Kluyveromyces lactis: one gene and its partners. Each later gene encodes a partner of the first gene's protein in a complex. Links are inferred from orthologs where the notes say so. Each region holds a gene or a part of one and is shown on either strand. Other genes may lie near its edges.

Evidence for each region. Proteins that work in one complex are often made in the same cells at the same time.
Region 2: VAR1 (region 1) and RSM19 share a complex: the UniProt entries of both Saccharomyces cerevisiae proteins name them as parts of the mitochondrial small ribosomal subunit. The link is inferred for Kluyveromyces lactis from reciprocal best matches to the Saccharomyces cerevisiae genes VAR1 and RSM19.
Region 3: VAR1 (region 1) and MRP51 share a complex: the UniProt entries of both Saccharomyces cerevisiae proteins name them as parts of the mitochondrial small ribosomal subunit. The link is inferred for Kluyveromyces lactis from reciprocal best matches to the Saccharomyces cerevisiae genes VAR1 and MRP51.
Region 4: VAR1 (region 1) and NAM9 share a complex: the UniProt entries of both Saccharomyces cerevisiae proteins name them as parts of the mitochondrial small ribosomal subunit. The link is inferred for Kluyveromyces lactis from reciprocal best matches to the Saccharomyces cerevisiae genes VAR1 and NAM9.

The regions. Positions count from the first base shown.
Region 1 is NC_006077.1:34,767-40,108, forward strand, and holds VAR1 (ribosomal small subunit protein), read right to left. Parts: upstream 3,040-5,342; coding exon 1,873-3,039; downstream 1-1,872. Other genes in the region: COX2 (cytochrome c oxidase subunit 2), read right to left, coding at 170-940; COX3 (cytochrome c oxidase subunit 3), read left to right, coding at 3,773-4,582. UniProt on the Saccharomyces cerevisiae protein: Component of the mitochondrial ribosome (mitoribosome), a dedicated translation machinery responsible for the synthesis of mitochondrial genome-encoded proteins, including at least some of the essential transmembrane subunits of the mitochondrial respiratory chain.
Region 2 is NC_006042.1:664,966-669,739, reverse strand, and holds RSM19 (mitochondrial 37S ribosomal protein uS19m), read right to left. Parts: upstream 1,611-4,774; coding exon 1,335-1,610; downstream 1-1,334. Other genes in the region: type 2C protein phosphatase PTC6, read left to right, coding at 1-1,039; putative ATP-dependent RNA helicase DBP6, read left to right, coding at 1,878-3,770; SRB8 (Srb8p), read left to right, coding at 4,102-4,774. UniProt on the Saccharomyces cerevisiae protein: Component of the mitochondrial ribosome (mitoribosome), a dedicated translation machinery responsible for the synthesis of mitochondrial genome-encoded proteins, including at least some of the essential transmembrane subunits of the mitochondrial respiratory chain.
Region 3 is NC_006042.1:87,818-93,347, forward strand, and holds MRP51 (mitochondrial 37S ribosomal protein bS1m), read right to left. Parts: upstream 2,394-5,530; coding exon 1,335-2,393; downstream 1-1,334. Other genes in the region: MRM1 (Mrm1p), read right to left, coding at 1-80; imidazoleglycerol-phosphate dehydratase HIS3, read left to right, coding at 445-1,110; KLLA0_F01012g (uncharacterized protein), read right to left, coding at 2,955-4,625. UniProt on the Saccharomyces cerevisiae protein: Component of the mitochondrial ribosome (mitoribosome), a dedicated translation machinery responsible for the synthesis of mitochondrial genome-encoded proteins, including at least some of the essential transmembrane subunits of the mitochondrial respiratory chain.
Region 4 is NC_006037.1:1,005,786-1,011,659, forward strand, and holds NAM9 (mitochondrial 37S ribosomal protein uS4m), read right to left. Parts: upstream 2,784-5,874; coding exon 1,335-2,783; downstream 1-1,334. Other genes in the region: SRV2 (adenylate cyclase-binding protein), read left to right, coding at 1-1,128; EAF7 (Eaf7p), read left to right, coding at 3,175-4,383; peptidylprolyl isomerase FPR1, read right to left, coding at 4,682-5,026. UniProt on the Saccharomyces cerevisiae protein: Component of the mitochondrial ribosome (mitoribosome), a dedicated translation machinery responsible for the synthesis of mitochondrial genome-encoded proteins, including at least some of the essential transmembrane subunits of the mitochondrial respiratory chain.

The DNA of each region.
Region 1 (5,342 bases):
ATAATAATTCCGCGGATTCATAACATGAATCCGCGGGATATAAAATAAGTAAGAATCCCCGTCTCCTTGTGGGTCGGGAAGGTGACCGTGGGGAAACCCCTAATAATATTGTAGGGTTTGCAGGGAAAGAATATTATTATATATAATTTATTAATTATAAATTATATAATTATTGTTCATTTAATCATTCTAAGAATGCTGGTAATGAAACTGCTTCAATTTTAATAGGCATAGCTGAATGTGATTGTCCACAAATTTCTGAACATTGTCCATAGAATACACCTTCTCTTTGAATTAAAGCTGATACTTGATTTAATCTACCAGGAGCTGCATCAATTTTAATACCTAAACTAGGTACAGCAAAATCATGAATAACATCAGCTGCTGTAACAACAAATCTAATATGTGTATCAACAGGTACTACTACTGAAGTATCAGTATCTAATAATCTTAATTGACCATCTTCTAATAAATCTTCAGGAATAACATATGATTCAAATTCTACTGTTTCACCATTATCATTAATGAAATCTGAGTATTCATATTTTCAATATCATTGTAAACCAATAGCTTTAATAGTCATTGCTGGAGAAATAACTTCATCACATAAATATAATAAAATGAATGAAGGGAAAGCAATAATTAATAAAATTACAGCAGGGAAAATTGTTCAAATAATTTCAATAGTTTGACCATGTTTAATATATTTATAAGCAATAGGATTTTTACTATAAGTTCTTACAATTGTAAATAATAATCATGATACTAATCCTAAAATAATAAATAAATAGAACATAATATTATCATGTAATTCTAAAATACCTTCTTGATTAGGTGTAGCTGAATCTTGGAAATACATACCATAAGGTGTAGGTACATCATTCATAATAATTGAATTTAATAAATAAAACATATTTATAATTTTTTTTAATCTATATATATTCTATATATTAGATATTACATTGATTAATATATTATTCTCCCGCGAACTCATCCAACTAATGTTTTGATGAGTTCGCAATTAGGAAAAAAACTTATTAATAATAAATTATTATAAATAATTATAATAATATTAAATAAGTATATTGATATATTATTATTAAATTTTTATATTTTAATTGATATATTTAATATATATTAGAGATACGAGATTTGAACTCATGTCCTTCGCGTGTAAAACGAATGCTCTGCCAATTAAGCTAATCTCTATTATTATTATTATAATAATATTATACTTACTTATATCTATATAATAATATTATATAATAATTATTATAAATTCCCCCAATTGCGTATTCCTCCCCACCCCCCTTAAAGGGGGTGGGGTTTATTAATTATATTAACTCCGGGGACTCTTCCCAGGTATACACCTTATGGGAAGGAGTCCCCGGGAGAAGAGTATATAAAATTATTTATACACCCCGCGGCTTATTCCCTGGAATTCCAGGGAATAAGTCCGCGGGAAAAGTATTATAAATAAATTAATAAATAAATAAATAAATAAATAAATAAATTATTAATACTAATAATAAGTATTATACCCCGCGGGAAAATGTATATTATATATTTATTTATATATAAAATTAATAATATAAAATTAATTTTTATTAGTATTTAGAGGTCCTTAAGGAAATAGTAAGGAGAACGCGGGAAAGATATATATTAATTTATTATATATTATAAAATATTTATATTTTTACCCCCCCCTTCATATAATATGAAGGGGGGATTATATGTATATATTAATTTATTATATATTATATAATTATATAATTATAATATAAAGAAAGAAGCCCCACGCGGCATTACCCTAGGGTAATGCCGCGTGGGGGAAGAATATTGATTATTTATTTATTATTATTAATTAATAAATTAAATAGTATTTAATTTAACTTTAATATTATATTTACCATTTTTATTAACATCAGAAATATTAGTAATATTATGGTTAACAGGGATATAATTTAATTTATAATTATTAACCATTTGATTACCTCAAATATATTTATAGTTTTGGAATGTACCATTTAAAATATTCATTGTATTAGATCTAGAAATAGATTTATTATTAGATAATCTACCTTTTAATTGAATTGATCATCCTACTAAATATTTAAACATTAAAATATTATTAGGGATAGTATTAATATTATTATTTTCATAAATAATATTATATAATTTCCCCGCGGCTCCTCCCCTGGGATTACCAGGAGAGGAGTCCGCGGGGTTATTATTATTATTATTATTAATTGATTTAATAATATTATTATATTTATTAAACATAATATTATTAATATTATTAATATATGTTTGACTAATTAATTTATCATTTAATTTAGGCATATTATTCATTAAATTTTTAATTCTATTCATTGATAAACTTCTTTTAGAAGATGAATTCATAATTTTTAATGATTTAGCTAAAATATCACTATTCATATAATTATATTTTAATTGAATAGGTTCAAATGATACATCTTTATTATAATATAATGATAAAATATTACTAATACTATTAATGTTATTATTTAATAAATTAATTAATTTACTATTAATATTAAATTTATAATTACTATAAATATTATTAATTAAATTATTGTTATTATTAATATTTTTATTAATATTTTTATATGATAAATAATAGAAAAATTTAATATTAACTTTATTAATACTATGTTCAAAGATAGGTTTAGAAATAATTAATTTATAAATTTTATTATTAATATTTAATACTAATAATTTTGTTAATAATTTAGTTACTAATCTATCATAAATAGTATTATTAATTTCTTCAGTTTTATTAAATTTATAAATTTGAGATGATCAAGAATTAATATTATTTAAATGTTGTAATTTTACACCTTTATTACTTAATTCATTTAAATAATCTCAAATATAAGTTTTATTTAAAGATCTATTTAATCTTTTATTATTTAATAATAATAATAATTCTTTTATAGAATTTAAATTGTTTATATTATTAATATTTTTAATAATATTTAAATTTGTTGTATGTTTATTCATTGTATTTATATTTATTTATATATATTGATCGTATAATATATATATATAAAACTATATATATATTATTATTAAATTATTAAAAAATTTAACATGTTTATTATATTTACTACTTATAAATATAAAATAAAATATTTATTATATATTTTATAAATTATGTATATTCCGCGATATCATCATATGATGATATCGCGGGAAAGAGATAAATTCCCGCGGATCCTCTACTGGTAATACCAGTAGAGGATCCGCGGGGTAAGATAATATATTCTATTTATAATTATTATTAAAGAGATAATCTATTTTATTTCCCCCCCCCCCAATCTCATATTATGAGATTGGGGGGAATCGATATATAAACCCCGGACGCCATCGTCCGACCGTAGGGTCGGACGAGGCGTCCGGGGAATTGTATTTATTTATATAGATCTATTATATATAATAATATAATTATTAATCGCCAAATACCCCTATTATAGGGGTATTTGGCGATACTAGATATATATTTAATATTACTAATAATATACTATATATAAATAGTTTTCATAATTAACTTTTCCCCATTGCGGACTCCTCCCTTCGGGGGGGGGGGAGTCCGCAATGGGGTTTATAAGTAAGTATAATATAATAATAATTATATTAAAATATAAATATTATCATATATATATATATTATATATATATATTAAGTAATATTATTTCTATAAATTAAATTAACATTTAAATTTATAAATGTATAGATTATAAAAATATTTATGACACATTTAGAAAGAAGTAGACATCAACAATTTCCCTTTCATTTAGTAGCTCCATCACCATGACCAATTGTAGTATCATTTGCATTAATGTCATTAGCATTATCATTAGCTTTAACTATGCATGGATATATTGGACATATGTATTTAATTTATTTATCAATTTTAACAGTAACATTAAGTGCTACATTATGATTTAGAGATATTATTGCTGAAGCAACATATTTAGGAGATCATACAATTGCTGTTAGAAAAGGTATTAATTTAGGTTTCTTATTATTCGTAGTATCAGAAATTTTAATTTTCGCTGCATTATTCTGAGCTTATTTCCATTCAGCTATGAGCCCTAATATTGAATTAGGTGGTGTATGACCTCCAGTTGGTATTCAAGCTGTACAACCTACAGAATTACCTTTATTAAATACTATTATCTTATTATCTTCAGGTGCTACTATTACATATAGTCATCATGGATTAGTAGGTGGTAATAGAAAAAATGCATTATCAGGATTATTAATTACATTCTGATTAATTGTTATTTTTGTTACTTGTCAATATATCGAATATACTAATGCTACTTTCACAATTACTGATGGTGTATATGGATCAGTATTCTATGCTGGTACAGGATTACATTTCTTACATATGGTTATGTTAGCAGCAATGTTAGGTATTAATTATTGAAGATTAAGAAACTATCATTTAACAGCTACTCATCATGTAGGTTATGAAACAACAGTGTTGTACTGCCATATTTTAGATATCATTTGATTATTCTTATATATTGTATTCTACTGATGAGGTGTATAACTCATCAGTACAATATATAAGAATATCTTTAAACAATAATATTCTTACCTTTTTTATATTAAATATATAAATAAATATATAATATAATATTAATATAATACTATTATAAGTATTGCCCGCGGCAATCCTAAATAGGATTGCCGGGGAATTAGAACTACCCGTGGCACCCCCCCAAGTATATCCTAAAAAGCCCCCCGTCAAATATATTATAATGTGTCCTAGATATATTTATTTATTATGACGACTATTAATAATATGAAGTACAAGCCCAATGTCATCAGGGGGGAGGGGGGGGATTTTTTTTTTTTTTTAAAAAAATAGTTCGTAGCGTACTATCATTTTTTTTTTTTTTGGGGGGGGGGGGGAGGGTGAAAAAAAAAAAAAACCCCCCCCCTCCTCTTATTATCCCTCATATCCGAAGTGGTACTTAACTCTAAGAATAAGACACTAGTTTTTTATTTATAATCGTTATATATCTTTTTCCTCGCTCTCTTTTTGTTAATATTGATTATTCTTTTCTTTTTATTTTATTATTGTTATTAAATTTTATTTTCCTATATATATTTATTCATTAACTATTCTTTATATTTCATTATCTCCCTTTAGACTATCTTACACAGATGCTACCTAATTATTTATTCTGTAATATTTTCTCTTTATTTTTGTTTTGTTGTTTTTTTTTATGTTTTATATTCTTCTTTATATCTTAACAAATGAAGTTAGTTTTATAAGGAATCTGGATCTTTTTAAGTTATCGGTC
Region 2 (4,774 bases), on another chromosome or scaffold:
CATCAGACAAGAGTTTGACGCTGTATTAAAAAAATATCAGGACTTAGTGGGGGGGAAGTACTGGTCGAGGATATACAAAGGTAGAAAGGAGTACTATGAGAGGTATATCAAAAAATGTAACACTAAAGTGGAGCAAGTCCTACTCACGGACGGTGTAGCGCCAAAAAATGGGGCAAGAATGATCTTTGACAAATGGGGAAACATTATTGACAAGACAAGCTTGTTGAGTGAATACGAACGTTTACGTTTGTACATATCCTACCTCAATTATGACTTAAATGAAATATGTGGATTTTCTTCGGATTTAGAACCAGAAGAAGCAATGAAAATATTCACTGGTGGCTCGACTGCTTCAAGCCTTTTTTTAACCTCTTATAATGAAGAAGAATGTTACGATGAATCATTTTTCATTGCACCACAGGGCTTACTAAAACTGGCTGTAACTCAAATCGGTGACACTAAAATTATACTTTGTGACAAGAATGGTATTGCTCATTCTTTGGCTAAAGTTCATCATCCTTCATCAAGTAGAGAGTCCAGAAGACTTGGAGGTCAATTCCAAACTGACTCCTTCGGTGATACTAGATTTTTGAACAATTTTGCAAATACACGATCCTTTGGCGATCGGATCGGAAAACGTGATGGTCTAACGTGCGAGCCGGACATTTATTCGTACCTCATTGGACCAACCAAAATGTTACCACATGCTGAAAGATCAAAATTGCAGTTCGGTGGTGATGAATGTTTCTTATGTTTAGTGACAGACGGAGTAACTGAATTGATGAGCGATCAAGAACTCTGTGATCTCATCACCTCCACAGTGAACAATAGAGGTTTGAAAACTGCTTCTCCACACTTCTGTGCTCAGGAAGTTTTACAATATGTTATGGCTATTAGCTCTAAACATTCTGATAATGCTACTTGCGTAATTCTGCGGTTACCGAACTGGGGAAATTGGCCTGTCATTGATCGCACTGGTGCGATTAGAGAGGAAAAGCTACTAAGTGGTGTATCCGGTGGAGAAAGATCTAGTGGTTGAAAAAAGTCCACAAACTTAATCATAAATTAAATTCAAAAGAAACCTCAAGTAAAGAGTGTATATTCTATTTTACTTCAATTATTATATATAGTACTCGTTATGATTAACATTTGCATCTATTTAACAATGAGAAACACCATTAACTCCCAATTAATCGAGAGCACTTGTTCAATAAATCATTTCTTAGTAATAGATACAGTTACGTATGGAGTACACGGTGGTACATGAACTTCCAGGTGTGATTTTATATACATGCTGCTGTCTGACTAACTTTGTGCTTTTCATAAATGTCAAATCATTTGTTCTTAGTTTGAGTATAACTGAATCTCTTTCTTGTTGGTACGAATTCTCCTAGCTTACTTCCTACCATATCTTCTGTCACTTCAAACGCGACATACTCCTTACCATTATGCACTTGGAATTTCAGTCCGACAAATTGAGGTAATATGGTGGCAGATCTGGCATTTGTTCTAATGGGCGTACCTTTGGCCAATGCTTCTTTTATTGGTAATGGGACTATATTTGGACCTTTCCATACAGAACGTGATAGTAATCTCAATGACGGGAACATTTTATGACGTTATGAGTGTTATCGTAGACGCGAGATATTTGTCTAACTGCTGGAACCTTTGGCTGACTGATATCATGGTAGTGACTTAACTCTATTATATCTTGTCGTTATTTCAAGTTTTACAGATTGAAATTTTTTATGAATTCCGTTCTGAAATAAAATAATAGACGAATGGCGATGAGATGTAATATGATGCGATGAGCTTCAGGAATTTAGAAGGTCAGTAACAGCATAGCGACAGCATAACGATAGCATCCAGTCAATAACATGTTTGCTGCAAGGTTTGATCCTACTAAGGTGACTGAAAATGTACTAACAGCTGAAGTCACACAAATAAAAGAACCCACTGTGCCCCAAAAGAGGAAAAGAGATGCGGAAACTGATGATGAAGGCTCTGGTGAGGACGATGCTTCCAGCAGTGAGGATGATGCTTCCAGCAGTGAGGATGATTCCGATACAATTAGTGAGCAAGATGAAAACAAGGTTGCATCTGTTGCGCCTACAGAAACTTCTCAGCAATCAGTTGATGCAAAGCACAGTTCCGTATTAAATAGATTTCAACAGACTCTTTCCCTGCAAGGTGCGTTGAGCGCTTCAGACAAGGTCAGTAGTGACAACGATGTACACGATGAGGACGTATCCATGAAAGATGTTCACAGTCTTACCCCAATTCCTCAACCGGCCAAAGTGACCAATGAAGCCTTGAAGCTTCTAGATCCGTCTACATATAAATCCACTGCGTGGGATGCAGCAACCAAAATTCATTACGATAGTAAAATGGTTAAACAATTCGATAGCTACGAAGGTGAATTAGATGCACGTCTGCTTAAAAATATTACCTCCAATTTCTCATCTGAAACGTTCCCTATTCAGACCATTCTATTCGATAAAGTGCTCCCGCTTCTAAACTCATCTTTTAAAGCAAACAGAAAACTTTTCACAAGACGAGTTGGTGATATATTAGTAAACGCATCAACTGGTTCCGGTAAGACCTTAGCATATTCTGTCCCTTTGGTTCAAATTTTGAGATCTAGAACAGTGAATAAAGTTAGGGCAATAATTTTGGTTCCTACTAAAATTTTAATTCATCAAGTCTACGATTGTCTCTCTAAACTAAGTCAAGGGACCAGTCTCAATGTATCAATGTCGAAACTCGAGAACTCCTTGAAAGAAGAACACAACAAATTTTTGTATAACTCTCCAGACATTCTAATCATCACTCCGGGCAGACTGGTCGATCACTTGCAGATGGAATCATTTGACCTAAAAACTTTGAAGTTCTTAGTCCTTGATGAAGCAGACCGACTATTAAATCAGTCATTCCAAAATTGGAACCAAGTGCTTTTCCACCATTTGACAAACGATAAGCAGGATAAACGTCCAGGAAACGTAATCAAAATGGTCTTTTCTGCTACTTTGACTACGAATGCAGAAAAGTTGTACAATTTGTATCTCCACAACCCCAAGATCTTCCTCACAGATTCTGTTAAATTATATTCAATACCTAAGAAATTGCAAGAACTCAATGTCAATATTCCTACTGCTAAGAGTCTGTTCAAGCCACTACTCTTACTAAGAATAATACACGACATCAAGAGCAGTGCTTCGAGAAACGCTAAAATATTAGTGTTTGTGAAGAGTAACGAAGCTTCGATCAGATTAGAAAGCTTATTACATGCCATGTTAGGATCAGGAATAATTGAAGATGAGTATAATATGTTCCTTTCATCAATTCATTCGAACATCTCGAAGGGTAGTAGCAGAAAACTAATACAGGAATTTGCATCCTCAGAACAAAAGAAATCAGTTTTAATTTCAACGGACATAATGGCTAGAGGTATCGATATAAATGAAATTACTCATGTGATAAACTATGATCTACCGATCTCCTCTCAACAATATGTTCATCGTTGTGGTAGAACTGCAAGGGCTAATACTGAGGGTATAGCAATTAACCTTCTAGTTGGTAAGGGTGAACAGAAATTCTGGTCACAACATATTGACACTGACCTCAGTCGTGACATTGATGGTTATCAACCATCTGCTTACCTTGACGAAGAAAAGTTGTCTGAATTATTCTCTATTGAAGACACTTTGAAGGATACGTACAAGGGTTGTATCAAACAACTCCAAACCAGCAAAGAAGCAGACAGTAAATAGCATATTATCACTAAATAAGTAAAAAGATCATAGTAACTGTACCCCATTCTTGGGGCTCGTCTAAGTGATATTTGAGAAGGCACTAATGATCTTATACTTACTATCTATTTTGCCTCTTCTGATGAGTTGATCATGTGACATGTTATTTATTGTTCGAGCAGTGTTTTTCCTCCACTTTAGAACTTTCTTTACCTTAAATTGATATGTGATTGATCGTTCAGAATCACTGAAACACTATAAACCTTCAAAGTACCTTAGGCAGGTTAAACTGTCTTAACTAGTGCTTGTTAACACATATAAGTAGTCAGAGAATAACCGCTAGATACTTCTGATGTCACCGTCAAAATATTTACTAACTCCTCCGGAGGAATTACATCCGCTCACCGACTCCAACCCACAAATCTATCCTGATTTTGATCCGTGGATTCACACCAAAGAGGAGGATAAGATACTTAAAGAGTTCGTGGCAAAAGGCTACTATACTGCTTCTAGGGTAAACTTTGAAACCATTTCTGCTCGTTCAGCTTTACAAGGATCACTTCCCAAAGTTTCCTCATTGTTAGGAGATGAATTATCCAAGATTATTGAGATACGAGAACAAGAAATTAATAGGATAAGTACACTGGACATAGAAGACAGTACAAGGTTCACTAAATGGTCCGGTCAAGATTTTCATTTGCCTAACAGAGTCACGCTTACAGATCAAAAGAGGAATCTGTGGCTTCAGGAATTAAGCTCATCGAACACATCATTGCGGAAATTAACTAAATCTGTTCCTCATGGATTTAGGAAAAGGCACATTTTGGAACAATGCTACACACAATTCGTTCCAATATATCGTGTCATATGGCTAATCAAAAGTTGCTATGCTATTGAATGGAAAGGAATGATCTCAAAAGCCAAAGGAGAAACCACCCATGAAGAGCTTCTTAGTACTTTGTACAAAGACTGGACCGATAATATGGTCCTTATCCTTGAGAAATTGGTTTTTGAAGTCAGTAAAT
Region 3 (5,530 bases), on another chromosome or scaffold:
TCCTTAATATACGATTCGTTAGGCACTTTGACCGCAGAACGAATCTTGTTCGAATAACTTCTTGTGATGTTTCTGAGCATGCTATACTACCAATGGTTTTACTTTATTTGAGTCTGCTATGCTCTTGTTAACAGATAATGTATCTTTTATTCCATGCCTCTCAGCTCATCTCATCTCGGCAATTTTTTGTTATCAAATAGCTTAATCTGAAAAATTTCAGAAAGTCAAGTTTCAAGCTTTTCTTTATTTGTAAAATATTCCAGAAGATGATTCATTTCTTTATCGTAGTAGATTGACAGAAGCGTAAAGGTATATTGGAAGAAGAAAGAAAGTAACTGGCCTCAACATTAGTTTGTGTACTTATAAGAAGCCTAAAAGTTGCTACCATCGTTCATATTTGGCACATTTTGTAAGAATTCCTCGAGAAAGAACTGTCAACCAAAAATGACTTATCCGGAAAGAAAAGCTTTTGTTTCTAGAATAACGAATGAAACCAAGATTCAAATTGCCATTTCATTGAATGGTGGACCAATTTCTATTGAGAACTCTATTTTACAAAGGGAGGAATCCGATGCTGCTAAGCAGGTAACTGGATCCCAAATCATTGATATTCAGACAGGCGTTGGGTTTTTAGATCACATGATTCATGCTCTTGCGAAGCATTCAGGCTGGTCTTTGATTGTTGAATGTATTGGAGATTTGCATATCGATGACCATCATACCACCGAGGATTGTGGTATTGCTCTTGGCCAAGCCTTTAAGGAAGCTTTGGGTCATGTTCGTGGTGTGAAAAGATTTGGTTCAGGATATGCACCATTAGACGAAGCTTTATCACGTGCTGTTGTGGATCTATCCAATAGACCATACGCAGTAATAGAGTTGGGGTTGAAGAGGGAAAAGATCGGTGACCTTTCATGCGAGATGATACCTCATTTCTTGGAGTCCTTTGCTGAAGCCGCGAGAATAACTTTGCACGTTGATTGTTTGAGAGGCTTTAACGACCATCACAGAAGTGAATCTGCATTCAAAGCACTTGCCATTGCAATCAAAGAGGCTATTTCAAGCAACGGAACCAACGACGTTCCTTCTACTAAGGGTGTTCTAATGTAAAATTCCTTTTCAAGAAAGGAGTGGACTCTCATTGCATATGCGCGACATTCATTTTAAGTTTACATCAAATATATATTCATCCATTTTGTTCCATTTAAGTTACGAGCACGGCCCTTAACCGCTTGACGCACAGCTCCGTCTTCCGCGTAACATGACTGTATTTATTACGTTTTATTTACAAGTGACTTCTAGCTATGGTTGTGTAATACCTACCATATATCAACTTACATGGTTGTCTTTAATAAGTTTAGGAACTCTTCACTTTGAGATCTAGATTCTTCGGCGGTGACAGATCTTACAGTTTTTCTTGAAGAGTTTCTGGAATCGGATCTGGTATAATGTGATCTGCTTTGACCTAAGCCGATCTTCTGAGCAAAACTGAAGTCATTTCTTGGTTCTACTAAAGATGCAGACAATGTTACATTACCCCCTTCTACCTTTGGATCTTCAATGGCAAATGGTAAAACTTCTTGTCTGACAAAATCACCCATGTTGTATTGTAGAGCACGAGGATTACGGCCCACAGATTTAGCTTCAGCGATGAAACCACCAACAGCGACTGCGCGATCAGGTCCCTGGACAGATAAAACTCTGCCTGGCACAACGTGCTTTTGTTTTACACCATTTGGAGATTGTCTAAGTCTACCTTTCAAGTTGTAAGTTAGACCACCGGTGCCCACAATGTGCCACTCCGAGTTAGCTGCTGTATTAATATTCAACTTTCCCATCTTTTCATGTAAGAATTCAGTAGCTAAAGCCTTCAAAGGTCTGGTGTTTTCATTTCTAACACCAGCAATGGAATCCGGGTGTTTCTCTAACAGCCACTTCTTGAATTCTGATCTGTGTTGGTCAATTTCTTTCAACTTTCTTGTCTTTTCAGAAGGCGCAGTGTTATGAGCAATGTTCACAGCATTGCTGAATGGCGCGTATTTTCCGGCCCTCTTGGTTTTCCCATTGAATAGAGGATTGGATTCTTCTTCAACGTAACGAGGGGCTAACCCCATTTCTTGGAATCTGATTCTGTTCCACTGGTATTGACCCATTGGTTCAAAAGTCGTTAGTCTTTGTTGGGTGTCCAAATCGTTGTAAACCAAATATCTGGTCTTGATTTTCGATGGAATGCTTGCCTTCAAACCCCATTCCTGACGATATAAGGAGGATGGCTTGGTCTCAATCACTTGATGAGTTGGATGAGAAGAGTTACCTGGACGAAACAATGGCTTGTCCGTCTTTGCCACTTGTGCTATCCTGGAATTTTTTAACAAATTAGATATATGGGACATAGCTTTCTATTTCGAATTGTGAATTCAGTAAGTATATCTGTCTTCAAGCTAAGGACTAACAGCCCAGTTTAAACCCAAAAAGTGAATTATCTATTCAACGAATTGCTGATAGTTTTGGAACCTTGTCACAATAGTCGACGATAGGAACTAATTTAGCTCTTCAGTCAAAATCAGTAGCTGAGCTGTGTTTAAGATTTATCGAATTGAATGCTATTCAATGATATCGAAATTTTTTTATCATTAGAAACGTAACATTTTACCCGGACTTGCGACAGACCATTGATGAAAGTGTCACATTTAGTACTCATTTTAAAGGAAGAATGGTTTCTTAAGTGATGCTAATATTTAAAACGAGATCAGCACCAGTATAACATAAGTCTTCTATGAGGGGTTTCCCATAATCAGAAATCGGTGTTGAGTTTAAATTTTTTTTTCAATTGCATTATTTATTATATTGTTTACTACAGAAAACTATTCATTTTTTCGTAATAATTTCATATCAACAGTTCCTTGGTTTAGTCGATACTGTATGAGAACCTCAGTTTCGTAGAAATGTTTGTACTACTTGACAAGGTTATCAGATAGTTTCGAGCACATGTCTCCGCTATCCAGAAGCTCAACAAAAACTGATTTTTTTCCAGTAACCTCATCAACACAGTAGATGTCACGATCGGTCTGAATGTCAATCTCAGGTGCTCTAATAAAAGGTTTCCAGTTCCCTGTGTAAGCTTTATGACCAAGGTAAAGTACGATGGTAATTGGAACAGCCATATAATTTTGAAGGAATGAGACGACATTCAGCCTACCGTTGGATTCTAAAGGAAACAATGATACCCAAAATTGTACTATCAAAATAATGGCACAAATAAACAACGAGATGTAACTGCCATATACACCACATGGTGATTGATATCCTAATTGGTCTAAAGCTTGATCTTGATCTTTCATTGCCTTTCTGAATCTCAAATGAGACACACAGGTCATACTCCAAGTAAAGATAGTGGAAAGACCGCTGATTGACAATAACCAAACGAAGACTGTTTCCTGGTCCTTATATTCGGCTATGAATGAAAATAAACCAGTAAATGCTGAAACGCAAAGACATCTAAACGGCTTACCACTTTCATCCAATTTACAAAAATATTTCATCGCAAATCCTTGTTCAGCTAAGGAATGTAATGTTCTTGAGCTACTATACATCGCATTGTTTGCGACAGAAATAATAGACAATAGAATAATTGCATTAACAATATGAGGTATTATCCTAACACCATTGGTTGTTAATGCGACCACATATGGAGATGCATGGGTCAGTTCTGATCCAGACCCCATCAAATATGGGGAATTAAAGGGCACTAATAATCCAATAATCATCAAAGAAACGCAAAAAATGATGGCAATTCGTACAACAACTTGTATTGACGCCCTTTTAATACTTCTTGGCATGTCTTCTGTATTCTGTTCAGCACAACTCAAGGCGACAAACTCGGTACCACCGGTACTAAAGCAGGCAGTTATCAACGTTGCAGCAATTGACTTGAAAAGCCCCTCATCGTTTCTAAAGAACCCTGGACTATGGAAATATTTGAAACCCAAATATCCGCTAGTGCCGACAACACCAGTGTTAACGAAAATACCTAAAATTATGAACCCAAGGATCATAAGCACTTTCAAACAGTTGAAAATGCAATCAGCGTCCGCATAACACCTTGCACCAAAGAAATTCACCCCGCATACCAAGGAATAACATAATGCAACAACGATAGAAGGATTGATATTTTCGTTCCAAAAGTTGATAGTCATAGAAGCGACACATATTTCTAATGGCAAAACGACAGTCCAATTTAGAAAAAATAACCAAGAAATGGTAAAGCCCACAGACGGGTCTATGAAACGCTTTCCATAAGATGTAAACCCACCAGGCATACTTGGAAAAGCAACAACAAGCTCACCAACAGTTTGCATGCAACATGTCAACATAATACCAATAATTAAGTAACCAACTAAAGTACCACCAACCCCCGCAATAGCAATTGATCTACCGTTCCCCACTAATAAACCGGTCCCAATACCTGTTGCAGTAGACATCATGAAAACATGAAACGGTTTAATTGACTGTTTTAACTCATTTTTGGGAAGAGTAACATCAGCTGTAGTATCGATACTGTTCGTTCTTGTGGGATCTGAGAGGTTGGAAAAAGTTGCAACTTCTTTTAAACATTCTTCAGTCATTTTTTAATAATTGACTGTTCAGCGAATTAGTGCTGTGATTGATGAATGTCTATTACTCAGGATGAAGTGGAGAGTAGCAGGGAACAGGACGCATCCTCGAAAGCTAGTTTTTTTATATAAGAAGTGATAAATCTGACACGCACCCCGCTCCTGGCAGATTTAATCATCCATATCCGTTATGAAACTCCTTCTAACACAATTTCTGAATTTTTTAGCATTACAGAGCTGATCTAATACCATAAACTCAATTGAAACCTGTTGAAATGCACCATTTCCTGAATACTCTTTGACATATCACAACACTTTTTTTTCTCTTAAAGCTTGAAAAAAAACTGTCGCACGTCAGAAACGCTGTTTGCCTGATATGAAAGTTTAATACGTAAATGATACAAAGTCTACAATGTGTTGTTCAACTCTCAGAGATACCCGCTCAGAGAAAAATACAATAGCCAACTGATCCTTCTTCACAATCTAATTAAAAATACGTTAACCTGGAATAACCTGCAATGTAAGCCGATCTTCTAATCGTTAAACATGACTAACTCCCAGGCACGTTACATACAGAGAACTAAACAAAAATGCATCTAGAATAATGAGGGAAAGGAAAAATTTTTCGCACATTAAAACGCAGAGCCCAAAAAGCGTGAAAATTTGTGAAAAAGAAATGAGTATTTTAACTGGGAAAGAAAAGAAGGAATATAATACAGAAAAAAAAATTGAATTGAAGGAAGAGATACGTTTTAGTAGTTACTTTTGTTCAGTTCCATCCTTTGTACTGTTTACAGACAGGTTAAATTATTTTGTATTCTATATATAAAAGTTTTCATATACTTTCAGTTCTTACTTACAGTTCTCCAGACTTACTTCTCATTAAAGATATACATCTTAAGAAATACTTTCAATCT
Region 4 (5,874 bases), on another chromosome or scaffold:
TCTATTGGTGAGTTGAAAGAGGAGAACCGTAACAGTAAGTATTTCGCTCATTTGAATGCTATCTCTGAGGGATCACCACTGTTCTCATGGATTGCTGGATCTACACCTGTGTCTACTATCACTGATTTCAAGGACGCTGCCCAGTTTTGGACAAATAGAATCTTGAAAGAATTCAGAAGCACTGATCCTAAATCCGTTGAATGGGTCCAACAATTTTTGTCCGTTTTCGATAGCTTGAAGCTGTACGTTAAGGAATACCATACCACAGGTGTGACTTGGAACGACACTACTGGTGAGGATTTCGAAACCGTATACGAAAGAGTTTCCAACGAGGGATCCGGAGCTTCTTCTTCTGGTGCTACTTCCAGTGAGCCGCATAGTTCAGGCGCCGGAGCTCCTCCACCTCCACCTCCACCTCCTCCGGCTTCCGTATTCGAAGTCAATGAACAATCAAAAGAACAAGAATCTGGTGGAATCGGTGCTGTGTTTGCTGAGTTAAACCAAGGTGAAAACATCACTAAATCCTTAAAGAAAGTAGAAAAGTCTCAGCAAACACATAAGAACCCAGAACTTCGTGCCTCAGGGAAGGTTTCTGACAAAGCTGTTCCTCCACCTAAACCAAAGAAACCATCTACTCTGAAGACTAAGAAGCCTCCAAGAAAGGAATTGATCGGTAATAAATGGTTTATTGAAAATTATGAAGATGAAGCCGAACCGTTAGTGATCGAAACTAAAATTGACGAATCTGTTTTCATCGGTAAATGTGTCAACACATTGGTACAAATCAAAGGTAAGGTCAACGCAGTTACTGTCAATGAAACAGAAAAATGCAGTTTAGTGCTAGATTCTTCCATCAGTGGTGTGGATATTATTAAATGTTTGAGATTTGGTATTCAAGTGGAAAACACCCTGCCACAAATCACCATCGACGCGTCTGATAGCGGCTCCATTTATTTGAGTAAAAACTCTTTACAGGCTCAAATTTTCACCTCTTCTAGCACTGGTATTAACATCAACACTCCAACTGGTCCCGATGGTGACTTCGTTGAAGTTCCACTTCCAGAACAGATGATACACACTTTCGTCGAAGGTAAACTACAAACCAAGATTTACGAACATGCTGGTTGAATATCTGAATAGTATATCTTCTCGTTACTGGGTGTTAGTTTATTCTTTACTCATTAGAACATATAAATATATATATATAATTAATATAATATGATACGATAAAATAATGATAATAATATGTACAAGGTTTCCAAGATACACCATTCTTTTTAAATTGTCATAGTCACAGTGTATCCATTCTTTCGTGTGTATTTGTTTTCGTCAACTTATTTACCCCTTCTCACATAGTACATGTATGAACGTTCATGTACAGGTAAGCCGAATGGAGTAATAACTTCAGATTGACCTGGACGTGCAACAGGGTCTCTTAAGTAGACCGCATGACATGTCTTGAATGATATTTCCAAATGGTGTGGTAGAATGGCGAATGGTGCTAAGAAGGGTCTTGGTTTCCACGGAGTGAAATATGGTTTAGATGGATCGTTACGACCAAACACACCCTTTTGCCATGGTAAATTGATAGCTTTTTGAGCAGCTGGTTCGTTTTCCAATAGTTCAGGAACATTGATCTTTTGATGCAATGGTAACTTTTCAGCCCACTTAGCATCGTATGGAATATCAACAGAATCAACGGATGCCATCTTGTCATTATAATGTTCTCTGACCACGGTTTCATAGAAATGTCTCAAATCAACTATAGTATGATTGATGGCTCTGAATTTTTTCTTTAAGGCATCGTTTGTGTTATCAACAGGTTTAGTTATTCCTGTAGCCACCTTTAGCAATTCACCTTGTTCATTAGGAATTTCAGCCAAAGGCTTCCCTGCTATCGTTTCCACAGCCTTGGCAGACTTGACTTCTCTATAAATTTCGAATCCTTTAGCTGCCAAATTTTCGTTATTGTAAAATTCGCCCAAGAAATCTTTTACTGCCAATTTTTCTACATCGTTAACGCGGTTAACGGTAGAAAAGATCTTAGCTAACAAATACTCGTTACTGGTTTGGTCTAATTCTTTCCTCATTTGAATGTGCATGGTTTTGTTGTAGTTTTCGAGGAAGGATAAAAATTCCTGTTTCTTTGGATCGTTACTATCCATAGTTCTTAGTTTTTCGATCTTTTCATCCCAGAACTTTCTAGGATTCTTTCTAGCCTCTAGAATATATTTGTTCCATAGGAAAATTTGGGTATTATCCACTTTCAAAGCTTCCTTCAAGCTAGGTTTCTTGGCACCAAGAGCTTGTAGCACTTTTTCGGGTCTGACGTTGAAAACATCACCAGCTTTCAAGGCATATCCCGGAGAAGTAATCTTTACACCATTCACATGGACGTTGCCATGTAAAATAAACTGACGAGCTTGTCTCACTGACGAGGCAAACATAGCTCTAAACAAAGCAAAGTCTAGCCTTTTCTCTAGTACAGCGTATGTTTGTAATAGAATGGGCGTCGGTTCGATATCACCACCCCTTAGAGAAGCATCTAATTGAGCCACAGAGTTTAGCTGAGGCTCGAAAACAGACTGCCACCTACTCTCTGTTAAATGTTCGCCATGGTAGGCACGAGTTTCCTGTTTAGAAGTCCATTTCTGTTGGTATAGTGTTTTCGATCTAAAACTGACCTGAGATTTCTTATACAAGTTGAACAAATTGTACTTGTTAAAAGAGGTACGAACCTTCCCTCTGGACAAAGAGTTCAGAAGTACAGCTTTCCTAGGCATTGCTGGTCTTTTTCTTCACAATGTATTGACAAAACTAACCAGAATTGACTGCTTACGGACTCTTCGAAATGGAAATACATTGCATATCCGAACTACCTGCATAATATTTTTCAATCAAACGCTATCTAATGCTTGAAGCTTTCCGATATTGAAAAATTTTTAGAGGAATTTCGTGACATATGATATCAAATATTAGCATTCATAGTTTAGAAAGATGAGAAACACCATAGAACCATATTGAGATGGACTGGCGAAGATGGTATCAAGCCTCATACGATCTGCTTTATCAGCGATCTTGATAGGAACTTTATTATATCAATTGCAAGAACGTTCTTTTGGTGTATAAGGTTGTGATACTTCAGATAAAAGTAATACGATACGGTTCACTGCGATGTCCGCTGTAAAGATAGAATCACCTAGAGGGCAAACATGGAGTAAAGTGGAGGAAATAAGGCTGTTTAAATGGATGATGCTGTTCAAACCTGCAGGAATACATAAACACTTCCATATGGTGTGTTTGCTTGAGCGATTGAACAAGCCAGATCAGTATCCAATCAAACTTTTGCAAAGCGATAAAGGCAGCTCAGATAAAGTGTTTTCTGGGGAGGACGTTTGGGAACAATTGAGTCGGTACTATAATTTAGAGAAGGCAGATGAAGTAGAGAACCAGCCATACCCTGAATTTTATAATGATGACGGACCAACCGAAACTACAAACAAAAAGACAGAAGGGGACGCTCAACTAGATAATGATGATGACAGTGACAATGATGTTGACAATTGTGACGAGCTTAAGAGAAATATAATACCATTACAAAATAGACTCCAGCAAGAGACGGAATTTGAACTATCGTGGGAAGATTATGGAGAACTTATGTTAGAACATGCTAGGGATCATGAGGTGGAAGATATTAAGCAAGAGGAGACCGCTTCTGCGGATGACAAGGCAAAACTGAAGGGTGCGGAATCACAGGATACGCAAGTAGAACAAGAGTCAGAAGAGCCACGGGAACGAGAAAAGGATATCGATGAAAAGGATACTGAGCAAAATAATGTACAGGCGAAACAAGAAATGGCGACCACTCCGCCAGTCAGTGTTGGAGAATCTGTGAGCGAACTGGCGAATGAACCTGTCGATGAACCTGTCGATGCTCATAAGAAACCAAGGACAAGACGCTCTACAAGGTTGACACGTTCACAAAAGCGAGGCATTGATGACGAAAGTGAAAACAAAGAAGACCAACCCCATGGCGGAAACACCGATGAAAAGGAAGATGTCGAACACGATACAGAAGGGAGATCTGGTAGCGAAAAAGAATCGACTGCTGATGCCGCAGATACTACAGCTACAAAACAAGTCACATTTGCTGATGAATCTGAAGGTGCTGCCAAGGAATCAGCTAATTCGCCGACAGGGAAAGCAGAAGAGAACGAAACGGAATCATCTCAACAGCCGCGCCCTAAGAAACAAAAAGTTGCCGCTGCGGAGGAAGTTCCTGAAGATCTTGCCGACGTGGATTCTCCAGCTAGGAGAACAAGAAGAAAATCCATAACAAAACCAACTACAAGGCTCTCGAGCAGGCTTAGAAGCAGGAAGTAGTTGTTCTTGATTGTTTTTTCAATAATGCAATAACAACATAATATAGCTAATGGTTTATATTATAGGCATTTCGTTGATGTACAAAAATTGAATGTTAAAATGGAAGCATACAAACACTACGGCTACAATTTGATAGCAATTCCCATGTTGAAAGGTTGATGAGAAGGTACGGAAAGATGTAAAGCTATAATAATAATAATGGATGGGACCAATTGGAAGGAATCAAGGGAGAAACCAAAGAAAAAATGTGAAGGAAATTAATAGTATGTGTTTTATTCAGAAGAATGACATTATACATCTAGTTAATCTTCAACAATTCAACATCAAAGACTAAAGTAGCATTTGGTGGGATCAAACCTGGGAAACCACGTGGACCATAAGCGTATGGGCCTGGGATAGTTAGTCTTGCCTTTTCACCAACGGACAACTTTGGAATAGCAGCATCCCAACCCTTGATAACTTGACCTACACCAATGTTACATTGGAATGGAGAACCTCTATCAACGGAAGAATCAAACTTTTGACCGTTTTCCAAAGTACCAGTGTAATGGATTGTTACCAAATCGCCTGGTTTTGGGAAGTTGGTACTGTCACCTGGTGATAATCTTAGAATTTGAACGTTACCTTCAATTGTTTCGGACATTGTTTCTGCTGTTTGATGTGTGATAGCTGAGTTATTTTAAAACTGCAATACAATAACGGATTAAACTGACACAAAATAGCACTCAATTGGCCTCGTAATTGCAACAGTTTCGTGTAGAATGTAGGAATCCTTATTATAGAAATGAAAACTTTTTGTTTTCTGAACGATAATGATTTCTAGAAGCAGTGGTAACGTATTTAATGACTTCAAGACTTTCAGCATTTGTCACGTGACTGCATTCTTTCTTTCTTACTTAAGCAATCACTTTTCGCGGAAACATGCCTGTAAGAGGTTTGAGCAGACGCAACGGCAGCACAGCCAACATTCAGGTCAGTTCAAATAAAGATCATCGAACCTTTTAGCATAGGGTTTTTAAATCACCTGAAATTGTACATTCCTGAACAACAACCGACGTCACTAAGCCGTACTACATCGAATATCCTACGAAATATCTCATTTGCTATTATGCTCTGTCCGCATCTGTATGTCCAGAAGTGTTTGAGATTTATAATTGCTTGATAATTAAAAGGTGAATAACTATAGCAAGAGCCAGGTTTTCAAAACTTTGAGGTATGGTGCTTTGTAATTCAGCCCTCATTTGCTTTATTTAGAATTAACGCCTCGATACCTGTTAAGGGAAAGTGAGCAAATTCTTGGTTACTGGGTCTAGAAGAGAACATTTCTGGAAAAGCAGGTTGATCCTAATTGTGCTGGTCAACTTGTAGTCGAGTAGATGTGAATTCACAGTAGCACATCGACTCTTATTCATAAACGGAATTGGTGATACTTAGAGCGGCTTATTAGCTAACATGTTATGAAGTTTCATTTAGTATTGCAAAATATTCCGT